3 linked regions of the Pelodiscus sinensis genome follow. The protein of the gene in region 3 purifies or fractionates together with the protein of the main gene of each other region. This does not show direct contact. Links are inferred from orthologs where the notes say so. Each region holds a gene or a part of one and is shown on either strand. Other genes may lie near its edges. The genes, in order: DBN1, CAPZB and TWF1.

Evidence for each region.
Region 1: the proteins of TWF1 (region 3) and DBN1 purify together in Homo sapiens (affinity purification with mass spectrometry; 3 studies listed by BioGRID and IntAct, with this or other methods). This does not show direct contact. The link is inferred for Pelodiscus sinensis from reciprocal best matches to the Homo sapiens genes TWF1 and DBN1.
Region 2: the proteins of TWF1 (region 3) and CAPZB purify together in Homo sapiens (affinity purification with mass spectrometry; 3 studies listed by BioGRID and IntAct, with this or other methods). This does not show direct contact. The link is inferred for Pelodiscus sinensis from reciprocal best matches to the Homo sapiens genes TWF1 and CAPZB.

What each region holds. Positions count from the first base shown.
Region 1 is NW_027465882.1:1,214-9,443, reverse strand, and holds the start of DBN1 (drebrin), read right to left. Parts: upstream 3,661-8,230; 5' UTR 3,605-3,660; intron 1,245-3,604; 5' UTR 1,198-1,244; coding exon 1,132-1,197; intron 497-1,131; coding exon 422-496; intron 1-421. UniProt on the Homo sapiens protein: Actin cytoskeleton-organizing protein that plays a role in the formation of cell projections. Required for actin polymerization at immunological synapses (IS) and for the recruitment of the chemokine receptor CXCR4 to IS.
Region 2 is NC_134733.1:7,659,286-7,667,644, forward strand, and holds the start of CAPZB (F-actin-capping protein subunit beta), read right to left. Parts: upstream 3,277-8,359; 5' UTR 3,206-3,276; coding exon 3,143-3,205; intron 1-3,142. UniProt on the Homo sapiens protein: F-actin-capping proteins bind in a Ca(2+)-independent manner to the fast growing ends of actin filaments (barbed end) thereby blocking the exchange of subunits at these ends.
Region 3 is NC_134711.1:54,401,190-54,409,021, forward strand, and holds the start of TWF1 (twinfilin-1), read right to left. Parts: upstream 3,420-7,832; 5' UTR 2,999-3,419; coding exon 2,974-2,998; intron 371-2,973; exon of another isoform or gene 301-370; intron 1-300. UniProt on the Homo sapiens protein: Actin-binding protein involved in motile and morphological processes. Inhibits actin polymerization, likely by sequestering G-actin. By capping the barbed ends of filaments, it also regulates motility.

The sequences.
Region 1 (8,230 bases), on a different chromosome or scaffold from region 3:
TCCCCGCCCGCCTCCCGGGGCCCGGGGCTCCCCGCCCGCCTCCCGGGGCCAGAGGCTCCCCGCCCGCCTCCCGGGGCCCGGGGCTCCCCGCCCGCCTCCCGGGGCCCGGGGCTCCCCGCCCGCCTCCCGGGGCCCGGGACTCCCCGCCCGCCTCCCGGGGCCCGGGGCTCCCCGCCCGCCTCCCGGGGCCCGGGGCTCCCCGCCCGCCTCCCGGGGCCCGGGGCTCCCCGCCCGCCTCCCGGGGCCCGGGGCTCCCCACCCGCCTCCCGGGGCCCGGGGCTCCCCGCCCGCCTCCCGGGGCCCGGGGCTCCCCGCCCGCCTCCCGGGGCCCGGGGCTCCCCGCCCGCCTCCCGGGGCCCGGGGCTCCCCGCCCGCCTCCTGGGGCCCTGCTTATTGCTGGCCAGGGGCCGCCCGCACTGACCTGGAAGAACTCGGCGACCTTGGCCACGTGGCTGGCGCAGGCACACTTGCGGGCATCGGCCACGTCCTCCCCAACCTGCCACGGCACGGAGTGAGTGAGGCGGGCCCCAGGTCTGGCGCAGGCAGGAGTGGAGATGTGGGGGGCCCCGACAGCTCCTCTCCCCGTTGCCACGCCCAGGGCAGCTCGGCCAATGGCAAGGCAGAGCTGCGGGACCGTCACTCCCGGCAGGGCGGGCACGTGGCTCCGCCTGGATCCCAGGGGCCCAGTGAGGCTCCAGGGCGCTGGGGCAGCCCTACCCCCCTGGCCACCCCAGCGGGGCCCGGTGCAGGGACACAGAGCTCCACTAGGTGGGGTCCCTGGAAAAGCTCTGGGGCCCCGAACACCACAGGCCCCCCCAAGCTCCGGCAGGCCCATCGCACCCCCCAGGCGTGTGCCGAGTCTCCCCCGCCAGCCGGGGGCGCTGCGCGGGGCTCAGACACGCACTGCCAAGTGGCTGGAGGGGCTAGAACCGCCCCACCCCCACTCGCCCCCTCCTGCGCACAGACTAGTGTCAGGCCAGGAACACCCCCCCCAGCATGTAGGGCAGGCACCCCACTCCTGCAGAACGGCCCGGCTCCACCCCTCGCTGCATCCCACCTGTGGGGCTGCAAACAGGCCAAAAGGGGGTGTCCCGGCCTGCACCCCCGCATGGAGCCCTCTGCCCCACTCACCCAGTTGACCAGGACGTATTTGGGCAGGGCTGCCTGGGGCTCCTTCACGCTGCAGAAGCCATACATCACCTTCTGGTTCTCAAAGTGGCCAGAGAGCTCCTGCAAGCCGCCTCCTGCCGGGCGGGGAGGAATCACAGGCGCTCAGTGTGTCCCCCCACGGGCGAGGAGGAATCACAGGCGCTCAGTGTGTCCCCCCACGGGCGGGGAGGAATCACAGGCGCTCAGTGTGTCCCCCCACGGGCGGGGAGGAATCACAGGCGCTCAGTGTGTCCCCCCACGGGCGGGGAGGAATCACAGGCGCTCAGTCTGTCCCCCCACGGGCGGGGAGGAATCACAGGCGCTCAGTCTGTCCCCCCACGGGCGGGGAGGAATCACAGGCGCTCAGTGTGTCCCCCCACGGGCGGGGAGGAATCACAGGCGCTCAGTGTGTCCCCCCACGGGCGGGGAGGAATCACAGGCGCTCAGTGTGTCCCCCCACGGGCGGGGAGGAATCACAGGCGCTCAGTGTGTCCCCCCACGGGCGAGGAATCACAGGCGCTCAGTGTGTCCCCCCACGGGCGGGGAGGAATCACAGGCGCTCGGTCTGTCCCCCCACGGGCGGGGAGGAATCACAGGCGCTCGGTCTGTCCCCCCACGGGCGGGGAGGAATCACAGGCGCTCGGTCTGTCCCCCCACGGGCGGGGAGGAATCACAGGCGCTCGGTCTGTCCCCCCACGGGCGGGGAGGAATCACAGGCGCTCGGTCTGTCCCCCCACGGGCGGGGAGGAATCACAGGCGCTCGGTGTGTCCCCCCACGGGCGGGGAGGAATCACAGGCGCTCGGTGTGTCCCCCCACGGGCGGGGAGGAATCACAGGCGCTCGGTCTGTCCCCCCACGGGCAGGGAGGAATCACAGGCGCTCGGTCTGTCCCCCCACGGGCGGGGAGGAATCACAGGCGCTCGGTGTGTCCCCCCACGGGCAGGGAGGAATCACAGGCGCTCGGTGTGTCCCCCCACGGGCAGGGAGGAATCACAGGCGCTCGGTGTGTCCCCCCACGGGCAGGGAGGAATCACAGGCGCTCGGTCTGTCCCCCCACGGGCAGGGAGGAATCACAGGCGCTCAGTGTGTCCCCCCACGGGCGGGGAGGAATCACAGGCGCTCAGTGTGTCCCCCCACGGGCGGGGAGGAATCACAGGCGCTCAGTGTGTCCCCCCACGGGCGGGGAGGAATCACAGGCGCTCGGTCTGTCCCCCCACGGGCGGGGAGGAATCACAGGCGCTCGGTCTGTCCCCCCACGGGCGGGGAGGAATCACAGGCGCTCGGTCTGTCCCCCCACGGGCGGGGAGGAATCACAGGCGCTCGGTCTGTCCCCCCACGGGCGGGGAGGAATCACAGGCGCTCGGTCTGTCCCCCCACGGGCGGGGAGGAATCACAGGCGCTCGGTGTGTCCCCCCACGGGCGGGGAGGAATCACAGGCGCTCGGTGTGTCCCCCCACGGGCAGGGAGGAATCACAGGCGCTCGGTCTGTCCCCCCACGGGCGGGGAGGAATCACAGGCGCTCGGTGTGTCCCCCCATGGGCAGGGAGGAATCACAGGCGCTCGGTGTGTCCCCCCACGGGCAGGGAGGAATCACAGGCGCTCAGTGTGTCCCCCCACGGGCAGGGAGGAATCACAGGCGCTCGGTCTGTCCCCCCACAGGCGGGGAGGAATCACAGGCGCTCGGTGTGTCCCCCCACGGGCAGGGAGGAATCACAGGCGCTCGGTGTGTCCCCCCACAGGCAGGGAGGAATCACAGGCGCTCGGTGTGTCCCCCCACGGGCGGGGAGGAATCACAGGCGCTCGGTGTGTCCCCCCACGGGTGGGGAGGAATCACAGGCGCTCAGTGTGTCCCCCCACGGGCGGGGAGGAATCACAGGCGCTCAGTCTGTCCCCCCACGGGCGGGGAGGAATCACAGGCGCTCAGTGTGTCCCCCCACAGGCAGGGAGGAATCACAGGCGCTCGGTGTGTCCCCCCACGGGCGGGGAGGAATCACAGGCACTCGGTGTGTCCCCCCACGGGCAGGGAGGAATCACAGGCGCTCAGTGTGTCCCCCCACGGGCAGGGAGGAATCACAGGCGCTCAGTGTGTCCCCCTACGGGCGGGGAGGAATCACAGGCACTCGGTGTGTCCCCCCACGGGCGGGGAGGAATCACAGGCACTCGGTGTGTCCCCCCACGGGCGGGGAGGAATCACAGGCGCTCAGTGTGTCCCCCTACGGGCGGGGAGGAATCACAGGCACTCGGTGTGTCCCCCCACGGGCGGGGAGGAATCACAGGCGCTCAGTGTGTCCCCCTACGGGCGGGGAGGAATCACAGGCGCTCGGTCTGTCCCCCCATGGGTGGGGAAGTATCCACAGGCTGGCTGTCCTCCCCCCAGGTGGCAAGTGCTTTGGGGAGGGGTGTTTAGGCTCTCTAGCCCCCCTTGGCAGGAGGCCCAGGGCAGGGGACCCCTTACCTCCCGACGCAGCCAGCTTCAGGTCATCAGAGTCATCCTCGTAGGTGTACAGAGCCCTGCGGGAGGAGAGCCTGTGAGGGGCACAGCAGCGCTCCACTGCAGCCTGCACCCCACCAGCAGGGGGCGGCCTCGCGCCATGCACAGTGCACCTGCTGCAGGAGCTGGGGTGGGCCGGACCCCCCCATAGCAAGGGGGGCCAGCAGGGGGCGGGCGGCTGGACTCTACACTGGGCACTCCAGCTACAATGCGAAGTCCCTCCCTGGGGCAGTGGTGTGTGGGCCTGGGGGCTGTCAGCGTGGGCCTCTCCTCTCCCTCCACAGCGGGGCCAGCGGGAGCAGGGCGGCGCCCGAGGCCCAGGGAGAAACCCCCCCTGGCTGCGCCCAGTGAAAGGCGACGGAATCCCAGTGCCTGGCGCCCACTGGGTGAGCAGGGAGCCTGGGGGAGGGCGGCAGGGACTGGCAGCGGGAGGGGGAAATGGGTCCCAGCCCCCCGCCCTAGCTGCCAAGCAGGCCCTTTTCGCCAGCCCCCCAGGCAGCGTGCTGGCAGCTCCCCTACGAGCTGGGGGGGACCAGGCTTCACCCCTCTGGGGCCAGTCAGCAGCTGTCAGGCGGGCCCGTGGGCCTGGGGCAGCAGCCCCCCCCAGGCCGGAGCTGCTCACGTTCCCGGCTGCGTGAGCCCCTGGCAGGGAGCAGCAGCAAATCAATGAGCCATCAGGGTGCGATGGGGACTCCATGGAGACGGTTCCTTGGATACCGGCCCCTCTCCAGGCTGGGCTTGGCACGGCCCCCGCCCCCTGCCCCCCGTGTGTCCCCTGCCCCCCACAGCGGCCCCTCCTCAAAGGTGGGGGTGGGCAGCCGGCAGAGTCGGTCCAGGGCTGGTGGGCGAAGGCAGGGAAATTTCAGCTTATCTAGGCAACCAGCATCCTGTCTCCATGGCAACCACCCAGCTCTCCAGCTGGGATGGAACTCACAAGAGGAGGTGATTAGTGGGGAAGTGGGGGGGGGGGGGCGCTGGTCTCTGGCAGGGGCACTAGCTGCAGCACATCCCCCCTGTGCCCCCCCTGTGCCCCCCCCCCCCGACACAGACCACTCCCCACTGCGGACTGCCCCACCCGGGCCTCCCCCCCACCCCCAGGCTATCTGCATTTCCCCATCCCAGGCCCCGAGGGCTTGCTGCTTGGTGAAGCCGGGGCATTTGCTGACTCACCACATTCCCAGTCTGATGAGCTGTGAGCCCTCCGCCCCCCAGCCTGCCCTGTCCCATGTGGGGCGGAGGGCCGCATGGGTGCAGTGGCAGGAGGGGGAATCATGCGCCCTGGCCCCAGGCAGTCTCCAGCAGGCGTCTGTCACCCCTCCCTGGGGGCCCCAAGGAAGGACTGCCACATCCCGCCCCCTCCCACCCTGCCCCTTGCTCTGCCTGGCTCCCAGCCCCCTTTCACACACCAAACCCAAAGCCAGACATGCTCCCCTTCCCACAGGAGACTGGCCCCCCCGCCGTGAGACACAGAGAAGGACACCAGGGAGGCGAGTGCTAACCCGCTGGATCGCAGCCCAGGGCACCGCTGCAACTCACCAGAACAGAGGGGAGTCCCGAAGGGCAGCGCCCCAAGACACCGTCCTGCTCAGCAGTGGGGAGCCCCCGGGGACCTGCGCCCCACAGGCCCCAGTGGAGCGGGTCCAGCCTGGACCTGCACAGACCCCAGCACCGGGCGCTGCCCATCTCCCGGCAATGCCCCGAGGCTCTGCCAGTGCCAGGCAGCACCCTGTGCAGGGAACAAGCCCTCATTTCCCCACCCCCACCCCAGCCCCCCCAGTGCACAGGGCAGACTGGGGCTAGAGATGCCCATGGGAAGCGTGAGGGCCCTGCCGGGGGGCAGGCTGAGGCTGCAGGTGCCCACGGGAAGCGTGAGGGCCCTGCCGGGGGGCAGGCTGGGGCTGCAGGTGCCCAGGGGAAGCGTGAGGGCCCTGCCGGGGGGGCAGGCTGGGGCTGCAGGTGCCCACGGGAAGCGTGAGGGCCCTGCCGGGGGGCAGGCTGGGGCTGCAGGTGCCCACGGGAAGCGTGAGGGCCCTGCCGGGGGGCAGGCTGGGGCTGCAGGTGCCCACGGGAAGCGTGAGGGCCCTGCCGGGGGGCAGGCTGGGGCTGCAGGTGCCCAGGGGAAGCGTGAGGGCCCTGCCGGGGGGGCAGGCTGGGGCTGCAGGTGCCCACGGGAAGCGTGAGGGCCCTGCCGGGGGGCAGGCTGGGGCTGCAGGTGCCCAGGGGAAGCGTGAGGGCCCTGCCGGGGGGGCAGGCTGGGGCTGCAGGTGCCCACGGGAAGCGTGAGGGCCCTGCCGTGGGGCAGGCTGGGGCTGCAGGTGCCCACGGGAAGCGTGAGGGCCCTGCCGGGGGGCAGGCTGGGGCTGCAGGTGCCCACGGGAAGCGTGAGGGCCCTGCCGTGGGGCAGGCTGGGGCTGCAGGTGCCCACGGGAAGCGTGAGGGCCCTGCCGGGGGGCAGGCTGGGGCTGCAGGTGCCCACGGGAAGCGTGAGGGCCCTGCCGGGGGGCAGGCTGGGGCTGCAGGTGCCCAGGGGAAGCGTGAGGGCCCTGCCGGGGGGCAGGCTGGGGCTAGAGATGCCCATGGGAAGCGTGAGGGCCCTGCCGGGGGGCAGGCTGGGGCTGCAGGTGCCCACGGGAAGCGTGAGGGCCCTGCCGGGGGGCAGGCTGGGGCTAGAGATGCCCACGGGAAGCGTGAGGGCCCTGACGTGGGGCAGGCTGGGGCTGCAGGTGCCCAGGGGAAGCGTGAGGGCCCTGCCGGGGGGCAGGCTGGGGCTAGAGATGCCCACGGGAAGCGTGAGGGCCCTGCCGGGGGGCAGGCTGGGGCTGCAGGTGCCCACGGGAAGCGTGAGGGCCCTGCCGGGGGGCAGGCTGGGGCTAGAGATGCCCATGGGAAGCGTGAGGGCCCTGCCGGGGGGCAGGCTGGGGCTGCAGGTGCCCACGGGAAGCGTGAGGGCCCTGCCGGGGGGCAGGCTGGGGCTAGAGATGCCCACGGGAAGCGTGAGGGCCCTGCCGGGGGGCAGGCTGGGGCTAGAGATGCCCATGGGAAGCGTGAGGGCCCTGCCGGGGGGCAGGCTGGGGCTAGAGATGCCCACGGGAAGCGTGAGGGCCCTGCCGTGGGGCAGGCTGGGGCTGCAGGTGCCCATGGGAAGCGTGAGGGCCCTGCCGTGGGGCAGGCTGGGGCTGCAGGTGCCCACGGGAAGCGTGAGGGCCCTGCCGGGGGGCAGGCTGGGGCTAGAGATGCCCACGGGAAGCGTGAGGGCCCTGCCGGGGGGCAGGCTGGGGCTGCAGGTGCCCACGGGAAGCGTGAGGGCCCTGCCGGGGGGCAGGCTGGGGCTGCAGGTGCCCACGGGAAGCGTGAGGGCCCTGCCGGGGGGCAGGCTGGGGCTAGAGATGCCCACGGGAAGCGTGAGGGCCCTGCCGTGGGGCAGGCTGGGGCTGCAGGTGCCCACGGGAAGCGTGAGGGCCCTGCCGTGGGGCAGGCTGGGGCTGCAGGTGCCCACGGGAAGCGTGAGGGCCCTGCCGGGGGGCAGGCTGGGGCTGCAGGTGCCCACGGGAAGCGTGAGGGCCCTGCCGGGGGGCAGGCTGGGGCTGCAGGTGCCCACGGGAAGCGTGAGGGCCCTGCCGGGGGGCAGGCTGGGGCTGCAGGTGCCCAGGGGAAGCGTGAGGGCCCTGCCGGGGGGCAGGCTGGGGCTGCAGGTGCCCACGGGAAGCGTGAGGGCCCTGCCGGGGGGCAGGCTGGGGCTGCAGGTGCCCACGGGAAGCGTGAGGGCCCTGCCGGGGGGCAGGCTGGGGCTAGAGATGCCCACGGGAAGCGTGAGGGCCCTGCCGGGGGGCAGGCTGGGGCTGCAGGTGCCCACGGGAAGCGTGAGGGCCCTGCCGGGGGGCAGGCTGGGGCTGCAGGTGCCCACGGGAAGCGTGAGGGCCCTGCCGGGGGGCAGGCTGGGGCTGCAGGTGCCCACGGGAAGCGTGAGGGCCCTGCCGGGGGGCAGGCTGGGGCTGCAGGTGCCCACGGGAAGCGTGAGGGCCCTGCCGTGGGGCAGGCTGGGGCTGCAGGTGCCCACGGGAAGCGTGAGGGCCCTGCCGTGGGGCAGGCTGGGGCTGCAGGTGCCCACGGGAAGCGTGAGGGCCCTGCCGGGGGGCAGGCTGGGGCTGCAGGTGCCCACGGGAAGCGTGAGGGCCCTGCCGGGGGGCAGGCTGGGGCTGCAGGTGCCCACGGGAAGCGTGAGGGCCCTGCCGGGGGGCAGGCTGGGGCTGCAGGTGCCCACGGGAAGCGTGAGGGCCCTGCCGTGGGGCAGGCTGGGGCTGCAGGTGCCCACGGGAAGCGTGAGGGCCCTGCCGTGGGGCAGGCTGGGGCTGCAGGTGCCCACGGGAAGCGTGAGGGCCCTGCCGGGGGGCAGGCTGGGGCTGCAGGTGCCCACGGGAAGCGTGAGGGCCCTGCCGTGGGGCAGGCTGGGGCTGCACTGCGGGAGGAGGAGCGGTGCTGCGGGCAGAAAACGGACACACCTGGTCTGGGGCATGGTGGGGGCCTGTGCAGGACGGAGGGATATGGGGCCAGGCCAGTGCCTGGTGCCCCAGCCCCACTGCGGGAGCCCCC
Region 2 (8,359 bases), on a different chromosome or scaffold from region 3:
TACTGTTGTTTTAGTTCTTATTTAACAACACTGGTTTGGTCACAGCTCTACAAAACAAGGCTTATTCATCAAGTAGCAATGTGCCTACACAAAAGCCTTTTCTAGGGCTGTTAGAATTTTTAGCAGTTACTCAACTATTCTATAGTCCCTGGGGACAGGATGGCAGCCAGTGCAATCCCACCCCACTCCTAGGGAGTACCCCTGCCACCTGCTGCCTCTGTATCAGGGGAAGCAGTGCAGGGAGCCAGTCCATGAGGGGACCAAGTTTAAAAACCAGCTCCCTGTTCAGACCATCTGCCTGCCGCCTTGCGCTGCTGCTTCTGAAACAGAGGCAATGGCACATGGCGGCAGCAGCCCCCGTCTGGGGGGGGGGGAAGGACACACACACAGTCTGTCATCACAGAGCAGCCTCTGACCACAGTGGGCCCAGGCTCACTGCAGACAGAGGCTGCTCTGCAAGATGGGGGGGGGGGGGGGGGGGGAGAGAAGGAGGCAGAAATGTAGAGCTGGGGGGGGAGGCTTTTAAATCAGCTCTCCCCAGCACCTGCTTCCACACACACACACACACACACACCCCTCTGCTGCCTCTGATACAGAAGCAGAAAGGGGGAAGAGGGGGGAGAGAATGCCAGTAGTTAAGATTAAACTTAGGCTTATTGGTTAATTGTATACTTAACTATTCATTTATATCCCTAGCCCTCTCTGAAAAATCTTAAACCACTTAAAATAGCAAACTAGAAATGATTGCCCCAACCTACATCATTGGCCATAGTTCATCTATTAGAATTTCTGAAAAAGCACTGAAGCGCAGGCAATGATTCATAAGACAATATAAAGTGATATTTAACTTTGTTAATTGACTCACTTTTGTTTACCTTTCTTTGAATAAAGCATACATAATAAAGACAGGATGTTTGCGAGTGCAATCAAAATGTATCAACTACTTTCACACATTATCCTTGGAATTTATGTACTCATGCTTTGTATAATTAAATGCTTCCTTGCAAGACTGGATTCCATCCACTAAGGACTTACAATGGGGTCTCAGTCTTAGTTGGAGCCTCTAAAATCTACTGTAATATAAAAAAAATAAATATTTTAACTGTACAAAGGTACAAGAACCTCATTGTCAGCTGCTTAGAAGAAAAATAAAAAGTTAGGCCTTCAGGTACTTGAAAGCATCAGTGAAGATTTTAAATACTGATACTGCATAAAAGTAGTCCCCCAAAAGAGGAATTTTTCTACAATATTTAGACTAGCACATCAATAGCGTCTTCTCAACCAGTCTTCATACAGTTATGAAAAGGAAATGAATATCTTCAGCTATAAGATTCAACTACAGGCAGTCCCCGGGTTACGTACAAGATAAGAACAAACCTACAGTCCCTAAGTTGAATCTGTATGTAAGTCGGAACTGGCGTCCAGATTCAGCCGCTGCTGAAACTGACCGCCAGTTCTGACTTGCATACAGATTCAACTTAAGAACCCCAAGCCTCCCCAAGTCAGCTGCTGCTGAAACTGATCAGCAGCTGATTCCAGGACGCCTGGGGCAGAGCAGCTGGGGTGCTGCTGGGTTGCTCCAGTAGCACCGCTCCTCGCTCCTTGGTGCTACTGGACCAACCCAGCAGCACCCCAGCTGCTCTGCCCCAGGCGTCCTGATTCAGCCACTGCTGAAACTGACCAGCAGCAGCTGAATCAGGACCTGGGGCAGAGCAGCTGGGGTGCTGCCGGGTTGGTCCAGTAGTGCCCAGAGCGGCGCTGCAGGACCAATCGGCAGCGCCCCAGCTGCTTTGCCCCAGGGTCCACAACAAAAGCCTGATCTGCTGGGGGGGGGGCACACTAGCTGCGCCCCCCCCCTCCCCCAGCAGACCAGGGACACGGGGAGCACAGCCACAGCAGCAGCGGGGTGCCGTGCCTCTGAGGCTTTGCTCTGGCAAAGTCTCAGAGGCGCGGGACCCTGCCGCAGCTGCGGCTTCAGTCCCGGTGCCCGTGGTCTGCTGAGGACTGTCTCCAGCAGACCAGGGGCACCGGGAGCAAAGCCGCAGCAGCGGCGGGTTCCCGCGCTTCTGAGGCTTTGCCAGAGCAAAGCCTCAGAAGCGCGGGAACCCGCCGCTGCTGCGGCTTCAGTCCCGGTGCCCCTGGTCTGCTGGAGACAGTCCTCAGCAGACCACGGGCACCGGGAGCAGCTTACGAACGGGGCTCTCTCGCCCCGGAGCTCGCAGGCAGCAATCCGCCACCTCGACCTCCGGGGCGAGAAAGCCCCGTTCGTAAGTCGGGGACTGCCTGTACTCTACCACCACTTTGGGACATCAGTCTTACAATTTGCTGAGTGGAGGGACATCCCTCAGACATGAGCCTGAAGTGGGGCTCTACACAGAAATGAGACTGTCCTGGTAAATCTAACTACTTCATCAGATCTTTGGCTAGAAGTCTTGTGCTTGTTTATAGCGGAAGTATCTAATGGAATCTAGGATAAGTAAAAACTGCCGTCCATTTGAAATAAAAGAAAAGTTTTAAAAATTGCAAGGTAGAGGAAACATGTTATTCCATTCACTGAGCAGCTCTCAAACAAGACTGAGTACACCTCCAGATCCACGTAAGAAAACCAATGCACAAGCATGACATGGTCTTCTATTAGTGCTAAACACAGCTTTCCCTAGAAGCAAGGATAAGCTGATCTTTCAAGATATTTCCAGGTATTAGAGTTATGACACTTCAATCCACTTTATTAAAGAAGTCTACATGTGTTACAAAGTAGCCCAAAACCTTAAAATGACCATTCAAGTTTTATAAATAATAACAATTTAGCCAGAAATTAGAGTTGCCACTATATAATCACAGGTTAGTTTTGAAAGTGACATACATTCTTCGGCACACACACACACACAACACACTTCCATTTCACAGACAGAATTAAAGTAAGAGTCTTGAAAAGCCATAAAGGACTAAACAGTATACATTCACTTGATAATATGATAACATAAATGTATAGTGAATTGTAAACCAAGCTAAATATCTCAAGAAACAGATGCCCTATCTACATCTGCAATCCCTGCATTCAGAAATGAAGATTCACAGCAGTTCACATCTGTTAAGAGCTCCAGTAGCTTGTTTGCCTGTTACAAACAAGATGCAGTCTCACCATTTTAGCTGACATCACCTTAACTTCCTGAATTTCAGGTGAAGGTTTACAGAAGAGAATCATTCACCACCTTGAATGCCCAGTCCCCTGCCCAGCTTCAGCTCAGGGAGCCTTTTCTTCCTCCCCCAAACAACACCATGCAGCTCTGGAGGCACCTGCTAACACATCTGTCTCTCACCACCAAACCACGTTAGCAGAGCACCCCTCCCCGGCCCTTCCGACTCTGCAGGCCTGAAAGCAAACCTCCCTTGCACCCTCCTCCCCCACATCATGCAAGCCCTGGAGCCACCTGCTCTCAGGCCCTCCCCAAGTCACCGTCCCACCACGTCACAACCCTTCCCGCGCTACTTTCCAGCCACGACATGCGACCTCGCTTCCCACCCCCGGCACCGCCTGCCCAGAACTTGCTCGCTCCGCCCGGGAGCAGGAAGCCCAACGGGCCCTGCCCGGCCAGCACACCCATGCCAGGCCAGGCCGCCGGGGAGAAGGAAGGAGCCCGAGCTGCACGGGGAAAGAGGGGACTAGAGCGAGGGGGCCGGGCAGGAAGGGACCATGCAACAAACGGAGCAGGCCCCTTTCCCGGGGGCGCGGGCACAACCGAGCGAGGGTGGAAGGGAGCACCGGGAGCTGGGCCCCAAGGAAGGGGGGGGCAGCTCCGCTCCGGCGGCCCGCAGCTCCAAGCCTCTCTTACCATGATGGCTCCGCTGGGCTGGGCTCTAGCGACAGCGGCAACTTCCGGTCCCGTCCGGTATCTCTCTGAGCCAGGCCGCAGCCCTGCCACTTCCGCCGTGCCCGTTGCCTAGGAGTGCGCATCCGGGTCACTAAGACTCGGCCCCGCCCATCGCCGCTTCTTAACCAATCCGAGCGCGGTTCTCCGGCCATCGCCAAGTATGGAGCGCAGTACGCGTCGTTCGTTCGGGGGACAGGGAGGAACTAGGAGTGGGACAGACCATTTTCTCCTCCGGGGGGGGGGAGGGGGAACCATACCAGGCAGAATGAGAAGGAAGGAATAGGCAAAGCCGAGGGATAGGGCAAGCGAAGGAACATCCCTGCGAGATGAGATGGGGCGAGTGCAACAAACATGGAGGAGAGAGAGCGGAGTGGGGGGAAGACACAGATCAGGAGGGAGCAACCACTTGCAACAGCGTGGGGAGAGACAACGTGCAGGGGGAGGAGCTGTGCAGAGGGAGTGACCAATCAGGGCAAGGAGGAGGAGAGGCCAATGGGGAAGTGAGATTGAGGCCCCACCCAACGGCAAAGGGGTGTGTTGGCTGGGCCTGGCAGAGGCTTGGAAGTTCTGCTGTGTTGCTATTGCCCCTTGGGTTTAAAAAGTGAATCTTGAGGCAGCCAACCGCGCCTCTCACAAGGGCCTGGATCAGGAAGACGTCACTGCATGTGTTTAAACTCGGGGCAGGCTTTTCACAACAGTGCTAGTTGCATTTATAGGTATAAAAGCTGAAAACCAGTGTGCAAAGTCAGCACTCAAAACTTCAGAAATGGAGAATAAAGGTTGCTCATGCAATTAGGATTTGATCCCTGTGTGCATATTTATGTACCATTTTTAATTATGCTAATGTCACATACTGTGTTTCCCAGGACCACTGGCTTACGCAATGCATGGGATCATAGAGGATATTGAGTAATCATTCTTTAGAGTTACCTTTTCCCATCAGAGAGACCAGGCACCATTCATGATAATGGTGTCAGGTCCCACAGGTTGGAAAAGTTGGCACTCTTACTCAGTATTTTGTGTTAGATTTATGTGTGTCCCCCAGCTTTATTTAAGTAACACTATTCAAAACCTGCTCTGAAAACAGAAACATTAATTGTCTATGTGGGCTTTTCTGTGGGGTTTATCACTATAGTACCTGAGCATTTAGCAAACAATTAATTTGCTTCCACAAACCTGTGGGCTGTGTCTAGATTGGCCAGCTTTTCCGGAAAATCAGCCGCTTTTCTGGAAAAAGGTGCCAGCTGTCTAAACTGGCCGCTTGAATTTCCGCAAAAGCACTGACTTCCTACTGTATGAAATCAGTGGTTTTTGCGGAAATACTATGCTGCTCCCATTCGGACAAAAGTCCCTTTTGTGCATAAGGGCCAGTGTAGACAGCTCAGATTTGTTTTCCGCAAAAAAGACCCGATTGCGAAAATGGCGATTGGGGCTTTTTTGTGGAAAAGCGCGTCTAGATTGGCCATGGACACTTTTCCGCAAAAAGTGCTTTTGCAGAAAAGCGTCCGTGCCAATCTAGACGCTCTTTTCCGAAAATGCTTTTAACGGAAAACTTTTCCGTTAAAAGCATTTCCGGAAAATCATGCCTGTCTAGACGTAGCCGTGAAGTAAAGGAGTGGTGTCATTTCCATTATACAGATAGGAAAATGAAACACTAGGATTAAGGCCAGAAATGTCCACTATTTTGGGGAGGGCCCAGTTTGAGGTACTGATGTCCTGATATTTCAGAATACTGAGTATTATAAAGAAATATTTGTGTTCAAAGCTCATCTTCCATCAACTTCAGTTTGTAGCTGCAAGTGCTCAGCATTTCTGCAGTTCCAACCCCATATATATGCAAATATAACTCCACTGAAGCCAGGAGAGTAATGCCAAGGGAGAATCTGGCCCATTGCATGGCAGCACTTTGCTCTATAGCTTTTTTGGAACAAATGTTTGGCCTCTGCTTCACAAGACTTGGAGTGCCTGATTCCGGAGGACCCTCTGTTAATGCTTTTTGGCATATGAATTGCAGACTTGGCACTAGCATAAGCCAAAAACCCTTTTGTTGCTCCATTTACTTTTCCTAGCCTGGAGGTGCATGCTGTGGAACTGGAAATGCTGACGAGAAGTCACAAAATGTTTCCTCGTCTGATGTAATGTCATTGGATCTGGTATGACATTCTCTGCTATGTTGTGTGAAATGCTTCCATTACGATTGTAACAGAAGCTCTATTCTGTGGGGAATTGCTTCACATTTTCCACGGATATAATATCATGCCCATATATCCTTCTGGCTGGATATGATGAGGGAACAGCTCTGATTTTACTTTACCAGGTTAATACAGGCAGTCCCCGGGTTACGTACAAGATAGGGACTGTAGGTTTGTTCTTAAGTTGAATCTGTATGTAAGTCGGAACTGGCATCCAGATTCAGCCGCTGCTGAAACTGACCAGCGGCTGACTACAGGAAGCCCGAGGCAGAGTTGCTCTGCCCCGGGCTTCCTGGAATCAGCCTCTGATCAGTTTCAACAGGCTGAATCTGGACACCAGTTCTTACATACAGATTCAACTTAAGAACCGCAGGCGTCCCCAAGTCATCTGCTGCTGAAACTGATCAGCGGCTGATTCCAGGAAGCCCGGGGCAGAGCAACTCTGCCTCGGGCTTCCTGTAGTCAGCGCTGGTCAGTTTCAGCAGTGGCTGGCTTGAGGACGCCTGGGGCAGAGCAGCTGGGGTGCTTCTGGGTTGCTCCAGTTGCGCCGCTCCTCGGCGCTACTGGACCAATCCACCAGCACCCCAGCTGCTCTGCCCCAGGCGTCCTGATTCAGCGCTGCTGAAACTGACCAGCAGCGGCTGAATCAGGACGCCTGAGGCAGAGCAGCTGGGGTGCTGCCGGGTTGGTCCAGTAGTGCCCAAAGCGGCGCTGCGGGACCAACCGGCAGCGCCCCAGCTGCTCTGCCCCAGGCGTCGGGAGAAAAGTCTGGACTGCTGAGGGGAGGGCGTACTAGCTGCCCCTCCCCAGGAGACCAGGGAGACGCAGGCGGGGGACCGAGACGCACCGCGGTCCCGCCGCCTGGGTCCTCCGCGGCTTTGCTCCACATCTCCCTGGTCTGCTGATCTGGGCTGTCCGCTGGGCCGTCGGATCCGCAGACCAGGGAGATGGGGAGCAAAGCCTCTGAGGATGCCGGCAGCGGGACAGCTGCGGCACCCGAGCTGTCCGCTGCCCCCGTGCTACGCGGCTTTGCTCCCCGTCTCCCTGGTCTGGGGAGACGTGGAGCAAAGCCGCGGAGCACGCGGGCAGCGGACAGCCCAGAGGCGCCATGGCTGTCCCGCTGACGGCGTCCTCAGAGGCTTTGCTTCCCATCTCCCTGGTCTCGTAAGTCGGATTCGCGTAACTCGGGGACTGCCTGTACCATTGTCCATTGCTTGAACCAAAATGCCATTAAATATATTAGATATGTTCCAGTATTTTTCCAAATACATGTATTTGTATTTAATGTAACAAATAGCACAAATTAAGCAGCCTCAAATTTCAGTTTGGGAAATGGATAGGTTTTCAGACAAGTTTTAGTGCACATACAGCTACTAGGTGAACTGGCACCTACAATGTGAAAAGTAGATGACTTTTCATGAAAAATGATCCAAATTCATATTTCATAGCAGTCACCACACATGCAAATTAGATATGTCATTGCACACATTTTGAAATTACCTGACAATCTGATACTACCTTTTTTTCTACGTCAGTCTAATTCCTTTTGATCATCTCTCACTCCATATATTTCTGTGCTGCAATTTTGAAAATAATATTCCTTTTAGCTCCGTGACAGGAGGCCCTGGGAAAATGGAGCGTTACTGGCCTGTAGCATTGGGAAAATGCTGTAATGGATATTACTTGGGGCATTCAAAACTAAACTGGGCAAAATACTATCATATGTACAATAGGAAACAATCTTGCACTCAGAAGGGTTATGGACCTAATACCATTTTACTAGCTCTGTGTTCCACAGACCAGATCCTCAGCTGGTGTACATCTTACTTGAGGAATAAGGGATCTTCCAGAAAAGGGCTTATTTTCCGCAAGATCCCGTCTAGACTGGTGCTTTTCTCCGGCAAAACCCCGAGCCGGAAAAAAGCGGCAGCCATGTTAATGCAAATGCCGCGGGGGATATTTAAATCCCCCGCGGCATTTGCAATTGTGATGTGTCTCATTAGCATCCCTTTTACGGAAAAGGGTGCCAGTGTAGACACAGCACATAAGTAGGTCAATATTATCAGGCTGTGTATTTAACTGGATCAGTGACAGCCTCCTTGTTTACAGGCTGTAATTGCACCTCACTGTTCAGCAGGAGAGGGAAATTGCAGGCTAATTTATTTTAAACAATTTCCAAAGTCCAAATGAGCATTAAGGCCAAGAGGATGTTTTTCTTAGTGGCAGAAATAAAAGCATCCTGGACTTTATTTTCCTGCTAGTAGGTATATAGAAGAATAAACAGCTGCTTTCTGG
Region 3 (7,832 bases):
CTGGATGCTTGTGGTTCCATTTTCAAAAGTGAAGTGATTAATATACTGGGGTTAGTAATCATAATTAGGTTTCAAATCTACCCCATCAAGATAAACAGTGGAATTCCAACATTTCTACTATTGCTATTATTTTTCTATAGCCCTATCCGCACTCTTAAACTACTATTTAAACAAAAGAAAGAGCAAACTCATTTATAAAAGCGTGTTAAAGAATTGTGTGTGGACCTGTAAGGATTATTTTAGTCTTAGCAACTCTATTGAATATATTTGAATTTAAGTGAATTTAGTTATAAGACTTACTACAGAACTGTGCATGTTGGTTTCCCAAGTAAACCCACGATATATACCGTAGTGACAGCAAAATAAAAGTCTATCAAACAGAAAAAAACCCATAAAGTCTTCATTTAGTCACATGCCCACATCAAACAGAGAGGTACATATGCTGTGTCTTACTATACTATCATCCATGTTCATGTATAAATGCTTCTGTTAATTTTCATCAGTGGTTGAGATTATCTTCTACTCTTCAAATTTTTGGTACAGGGAGCCTTTATTTCTTCCCATTATCAACCCAACACACAACTAATTAGACTAATTTCTTCCCCTTCCCCAAGGACTAACATCAGCTCTATATAATATGCTACCAAGTTTTCTTTGTCTTTCCCCTTTCCAGAAATTCTCTTTCCCCTCAAAGAAAGATACATTCACTCATCTTCCTAAGAATTGTTTTTCCCCTCCCCTAAAAATGTTATCTGCTGCTTCTTTTCCAGGATTAAACCTATGCACCAAAATGATAGCAAAACATGTAACTAGTTTTGTACTGGCGTCTAAACTGTGCATTTTCTTGAAATTTCTCACCACTGCACTATCAGTAGTACATTTGTACCGCTTGAAGTAATAAAAGGAGACAAGACCTGAATGCACAGCAGCATTTTTGCCACCAGGTCATTTATACTTTTTCTAATTAGGGTTAATAGCTTTTTAAGGCCCAAAAGGACTATTATATGATCATCTAGTCTGATCTACATAACACAGGGTCACAGAATTCCAGTAAGTGTTTCCTGCAGCTAGACTAGAAATTTATGGTTTAACTGGGGGATATCTTTTAGGAATAGGATAGTGATAAAAAGAGAGTTGAGAAATATGGTTAGTGGTATGTAAAGTAAGATTTTGTATTGACCAAAGTTGCAATACAACAACCTCAAATGTTGTGAGGTCATGATGAAATGTGACTGTGTCCCATGCAGACCAAAATCAGATAGCAGGCAGATTAAGATTGATGCCTGTATCAAAGATATGAATTTGATCTCATTAAGTTTTCCTATCCCATGTTCCAGCATGGAATTAAATAAAAGCAACATCAAAACTAGCTTGTATTTTTTTTAAAGCAGAAAACAAAATTCCTCAAAACGAGAGAGAGTCAAATACTCTGACCATCTCATTAATGCACACTGGATACAGTAAGTAACTGCAAAATAGGTTTTAAAGTAATACATCCAGTTAATATAGTATAAGCCACAACCACACACTCAAATTTACTCCAAAATGGAGCAAATAATAGATTTATATGGGGTACAAGGAAGGAGCAGAGAAGCTATAATTCCCCATCTCTTCTAAATCATCAGATTACACCTAAAACATGTAATCATTTCCCAGCCATCTCAAACACCTGTAAGGGAGAGCCTAGATTTATCTGGTCCTACTCAGTGCAAAGGGCTAGACATGACCACTTCTCAGGATGCTTCCAACCTTGCCTTTCTATTCTCCTCCTTCCAGCTATATGGTACAATCATTTACAAAATTGTTGTGCCCTACTGTTCTTCACCTTGTCCCACAAAAATACTGCTAATAAATCATAGCTGGATGCTCTAGAGCAGCACAGGGTAACAGAAGATCCAAGGGCCACAGTCAGGAACTAGGTGGCTTGTTAACACAGACAGGAAAGGGGGAGCTTGCTCTAGTTTCTAACTCAGAAAGGAAGAGGCAGAAGAAGGGGGCAATTTCATGGTTTGGAGAAGGAAGGGAAGACCAGGCAGTTCAATGCCCCAAGAGAGCAGGGGCAGTTAAAAAGTCCTAGGCTATGTCTACACTACAAGGTTTTTGTGCAAAAACCAGCCGTTTTTCATGCAAACACCAGCAGAGCATCCACACTTCAAATGCGTTTTTACGCAAGAAAATCAACAGAACAGAGGGCTTTTGCTGGTAGAGTTATTCTTCTACCCATGAGGAATAACTCCTTTTTGCGCTACACCTTTTGTGCAAAAAAGGCATGTGTGGACATTCCGGAGGGGTTTTTGTGCAAGAAACCCCTATCAGAAAAAGCACAGGTCAATGGCAATCAGAGCTTTCTTGCGCAAGAGTGTCCATGCAGTGTGGACGCTCTCTTGCGCAAAAGCACATCACTTTTGCGATGCACTCTGAGGTCTGGACACCTTTTGTGCAAGCAGTTTTTGTGCAAGAACTCTTCAGCAAAAGGCTTCTTGCACAAAAGCTCTGCAGTGTAGACAAAGCCCTAGAGTGGGATGAGGCTTAGCTTGAAAAGAGGAAGGAGCAGTGTAGAAGCTGGGGAGACGAACAATGTGCGGTTCCATAGAGCGGGTGTGTATAGGCTGGGGTAGAGGGGAAGGGAGGAACTGTGGGGAGGAGAGGAAGGGCTACTGGGGAGCCTGGGCCCAGCAGGGGTTGAGGTGGTGAAAGGGGCACCAGGAACACAGGAAGGGACGCTCAAGAGCCCAGGGCAGTGTAAGGAGTGGTGGGCACCAGGGGACGGTGCAGTGGCGGGGGAAAGGGGACACGGGAGAGCCCCAGGACTGGTGGGCACCAGGGAAGCCCTAGGGAGCGGCGCAGGGACTGAAGAGATGGGGCATTAGGGAGCCCTAGCGGCGGTGCAGGCGCTGGGGGAGACGGGACCCGGGGCGCCCCGCGGGCGGGCAGGAACCGCGGAAGAGGCGCGGGGGAGCCCCGGGCCGGTACCTTGGATGCCGGTTTGGTGGGACATGTTGCGATGGCGCCGGGGCTGTGTCCGTCCGTCTGTCCGCGTCTCCGCCAGCAACCGGCGGGCTGGGCGGGAGGGTCAGGCTGGCCCGGGACACGCACGTGACGCGCCCTCGCCACTCAGCGGCCGGGAGCTCACCGGCTCCTTCCGGGCGGGCCCGGCGCCGCGAGCCGGTTCCGGGGGGTCCGGTTCCCGCCCAGGGCCGCCCGCCCCGCCCCCCTCGACCCGAGCGGGCGGGCCAGAGCGAAGCGGCGTTTTGCCCGGGATTGGGGCGCGCTGAGCGCGCGGGGGGGTGTCTGGCCCCGGCCCGCAGGCCATAGCTCAGCTGCTGCGACGCTAGGGAGCCCGCCAGGCCTCGCGGGGACCGCTGGGGGCTGCCGTGCGGAGTTCAGTGCCCCCGAGGCGGATAATGCCCAAGGACGCACCGCAGCCCCTCTCGGGCACTGCCTTTGCCTTGCCATGGAGGTGACCGCCGCGCACATCAACGGAAGGGCTTTTCGTTAAATGACTCACACGGATTGGTTAAAACCTCGCTCCTTGAGCCCGCTTGTCTGCTGAGCCTGACATTTTGCCAAGGGTCTCCATTGGCAGCAGCAGCAGACCACAGCACAGGTGCAATTTAAGGGGCGGTAGAGATCTAACGAGAGAGTTAGAGGACGGAACCAAGTCAAGTCATAAAATGGAAAACGCTTCTCGACTTTCTGATAGTTGTGCTTAGTAATTGCAGTGATAGGTACATTGAATATGCTTGGGTAGATTGGATTCAGATATGCCACAGAGTTAATTAGTTGCCAAAGTATTTGATGAAAACACCAGATATGATCTCATGTTTTGGCTGTCTTCCGCAGCAGTATCAGTTACAGGGCAAAGGTTTCCCTAAAGCTATTCTTTCTGTTATGGCACTACTTTTTGTCCTCCTGGCATGCATATGCCTATGGTATGGAAAAACTGTTGTATTTCATTATTGCAATTTGGATGATAATTTACCAGATGACATACATCTCTGATTCCTATTTGAAAGTTTTATGCCATGGGTTAGTTTAATCAGCAGTTTCTGGGAGGATACTGCCAGGTATGGAGGGCAGAAAACAGTCAATTGACTGTTAACTCACATAAAATTACATTAAAATCTCAAATGTAATGTTGCATTAATTATACAGGTTCACAGCTTCAGGACCTTGCTTAGACCTTGATCCTGCAAAGACTTACTAACTGCTTAACTTTATGCAGTGAGACTATTTGTGGTGTTTAATTGAGCACTCACTTACGTCTTTCCAGGATAGGGGTGTTAATTTTTGTTGGTCTTCTTCATCAAGTGAGCTATTTCTGAGTAAGGACGTATTTGAATGAACTTTAACTAGGGGTAACCCTCAGGAAAATGCCTTTCAGAGTGTAACTGAACTGTAAAAGTGAGGTAAAAAACACTAAGTTCTCTCTCCTTATCTATTTCTCTCTTGTGACCTAAGAAGTTAAAAAAGAAGGAAGCATTGGGAGTAGATCTTTACCTAAGAATTTGGTAAGTAATGTTACAAGAAACTTTTTGATAAGAACTTCACCTTAAATCAGTGTTCATCAAAGTGGTCCACAAAATCTCTTGGAGAACCCTGCTAACTGACCGCTCCAGTTTGTTTACTTACCAGTGCCACGGCCATGGAGTCTTATGGCTCCTATTGGCTCTGTTTTGCCATTTGCAGCCAAAGGGGAGCCATGGAAAGTGGCATGGGCTGGGCCGCTGTTTCTCGTGATTCCCCGTGACTGCAAACTGTGAAACAGAGCCAATAGGAGCTACAAGGCTCTGTGGGTGTGGTGCTGGTATGTAAACAGATAGGAGCGGCTACTTAGCAACTTCTCAAAGTGGTTTCAGGGACCACTTTGAGAAACACTGCCTTAAATCAAGGCTAGTTTATTAAGGCCTTGTCTACTTACTGCTGTGGGGATCAATCTCCCAGAGATCGATTAAGCAGGTCTAGTGAAGACCAGGGATCTCACTTTGTCTGACTTACTAAGGAGAGTCTGACTTACCTGAAGAGTGAGGAAAGGGTTAAGAAACTGGAAATGCACCTAGGGAGGGGGTTCAGGCAGTCAGCCAATAAAAATGTGGATAGGAATTTCAAACTGTGTGATGGGGGATTTTCTTTTTTCTTTGTTTGAGATCAGGGCAGTTTCTCCCAGGTATTGAGGGAGATGGGAGACAGGTTCTCCAAGAACGGACTTCTTGAAAAGTGTAATTAGGGTTTATTGATTTCCTTGTTTGGGGGTTTGGAAATCATGTCTGAGCTGGCTAATTGTTTTTCTCTTTTGTAACTAAGGATTACAGCCCAGGGACTTTCCCTGAGTCTGTCACTTCATGGCTATTTAACACCTAGTCACCTACTATGCTTGCAAGGATAGTTTTGTGTTGATAATAGAGTTTTCCTTTTTGATTTGATTAACTGGTATTGGTTGATTGTTGTGTCTTTAAGTTCATGAGCCTAGTTGCAGGGGCAGACTCCATTGTTCTCAGCAGATTCCTTCTGTTTGTTTTCCTAACTCCAAGCAAAAGGGAGGTTGGAGGCAGAGGGGAGAACTGCTTTAGGAAGGGGATTCTCAAGTGATCTCTTCCCTGGAAAAGGGTTTATTTTATATTTTCTTTTAGTCACTTGGGTGGTGGCAGCGAGTGAATCAGTCTTTGGCTTTATTTGGATCTCAAGGGGACTGAGATCGAACAAACTTGTCTCTGGGAGTCACAGAGATAGGTTTTGCAGAGTTTATTCTCTTAGCTGGCCCCCATCTCTACATTCGATGTGTCAAGTTGGGGAATTGAGTCATGACATGCTTCCATCAACTTCAGCGCTACGCCAGAATGAGAGAGTCAACAAGACTGTTTTCCTTCGATCCCTCACAGTGAGGATTCGGGATGTAATAGTGTTAGGCCCTAGAGAATTGGGCCCAGAGCAGTTATGTTAAGACAAATCAAGGAAAGAGGTTAACAAAGGTTTCTGAGTAGTCCCTGAGCAGAACTAGAGACATGGTTCAAGCAAGGAGGCGCTCCCTACATACTTGCTTGAGTTGCAGAAGTAAAATAAGTAAAAGGCTGCATTCCTATACCGGTTGTAATGGGAACAGCTAGTTTGAGAACTGATAAAGTAACTCCCTGTTTCTGTTCTCACCCTGATCTTAACGAACTGTCTCTGCCCTCTGTTGTTTTAACTCCCTGTCTCTTTGTTGTTTGGTACTTGCCTTCTGGGCTGATAAGAAAGCTGTTGACGTATTATGAATTGCTTAAGGCCATGAAGTATACACATTAACACTAGAAGCTTCTAACTAATTAAGGGGGGGCTAAGATGCTTAGGCAAATGTTTTATGATGCGACGGAACTGTCTATATAATCTTACTTGTTACTGAAATCGTGGCTGGTTCACTTGGGAGACGGGCCGCTCTCTATTGTAGTGCGCACTATTCAATAAAGAGCTCGTGATTGGATCTTGCTGGTGTTGCCTGTCTCTTTGCGGTCAGACAACGAACGGAGGCCGTCCGGGTTAAAGTCCCCGACAATAGGATAGTTTATTAGTCAATTAACCGATCAGCAAAAGCTTATAGGTTAATGCTATCCCTTCAGTGGCTCTGCATTTCAAGTGTATTAGGAGCCAGGCTACTCAGCCTGGCTAAATTCTGGCTTGTGCTGGCCCCACTCCTAGGGAGCCCTCTGCCACCCTGTACTGCTGCATCTGTATCAGTGCAGGGTAGCAGGCAGCCAGTCAACGAGGGGAGCTGGTTTTTAAACTGGCTCCCTTCACGGACCAGCTCCCACCTGGCACCCCACACTGCTGCCTGTGATGGAGATGCAGCAGCATGGGATGGCAGGGTACTCCCCAGGAGTGGGGCTGGCATCCTCATGGTAGAATAGTCGACTAACTAATAAGAATTCATAAGGTTAATTGACTATTCAATTAACCGATATTTAACATCCCTAATAGGGATGCTGCGATAAGTCGAACTAAGATATGTTGACTCGAGCTATGCTATTCACATAGCTGGAGTTGCGTACATTAGTTCGATATTGGCCTCTAGTATAGACCCGGCCCAAGTTTACAAAGCATTTTATCTTTATTTTTCTTGTAATCGTTTCTGACTTTAATGTCTCATTACTTGTACTCCTTGAAACCTATTCTATGTAGTTAAATAAACTTGTCTTATCTTTTAATTAAAACTAATGCAGTGTTGTGAATTTTTGGGTAGCTTCACATTAGTTAGCAGACAGTTGTAGTTTGATCTTATTGATAAACTAGGCAAATATAACTTAGATAGGGCCACGATAAGGTGGGTGCATAATTGGCTGGATAACTGTAGTCAGAGAGTTGTTGTTAACGGTTCTAAATCCTGCTGGAAAGGGATAATAAGTGGAGTTCCTCAAGGGTCTGTTTTGGGACCCGTACTGTTCAATATCTTCATCAATGATGTAGATATTGGGATAGAGAGTACGCTTATTAAGTTTGCAGATGATACCAAACTGGGTGGGGTTGCGACTTCTTTGGAGGATAGGGACATAATTCAAAATGACCTTAGCAAGTTAGAGAAATGGTCAGAGGTAAACAGGATGAGATTTAATAAAGAGAAATGCAAAGTGCTCCACTTAGGAAGGAACAATCAGTTCCATACATACAAGATGGGAAGCGACTGTCTAGGAAGGAGCATGGCGGAAAGGGATCTAGGGGTCATAGTGGACCACAAGTTGAATATGAGTCAACAGTGTGATGCTGTTGCAAAAAAAAGCAAATATGATTCTAGGTTGTATCAACAGGTGTGTTGTAAACAAAACTCGTGAAGTCGTTCTGCCGCTCTACTCTGCACTAGTTAG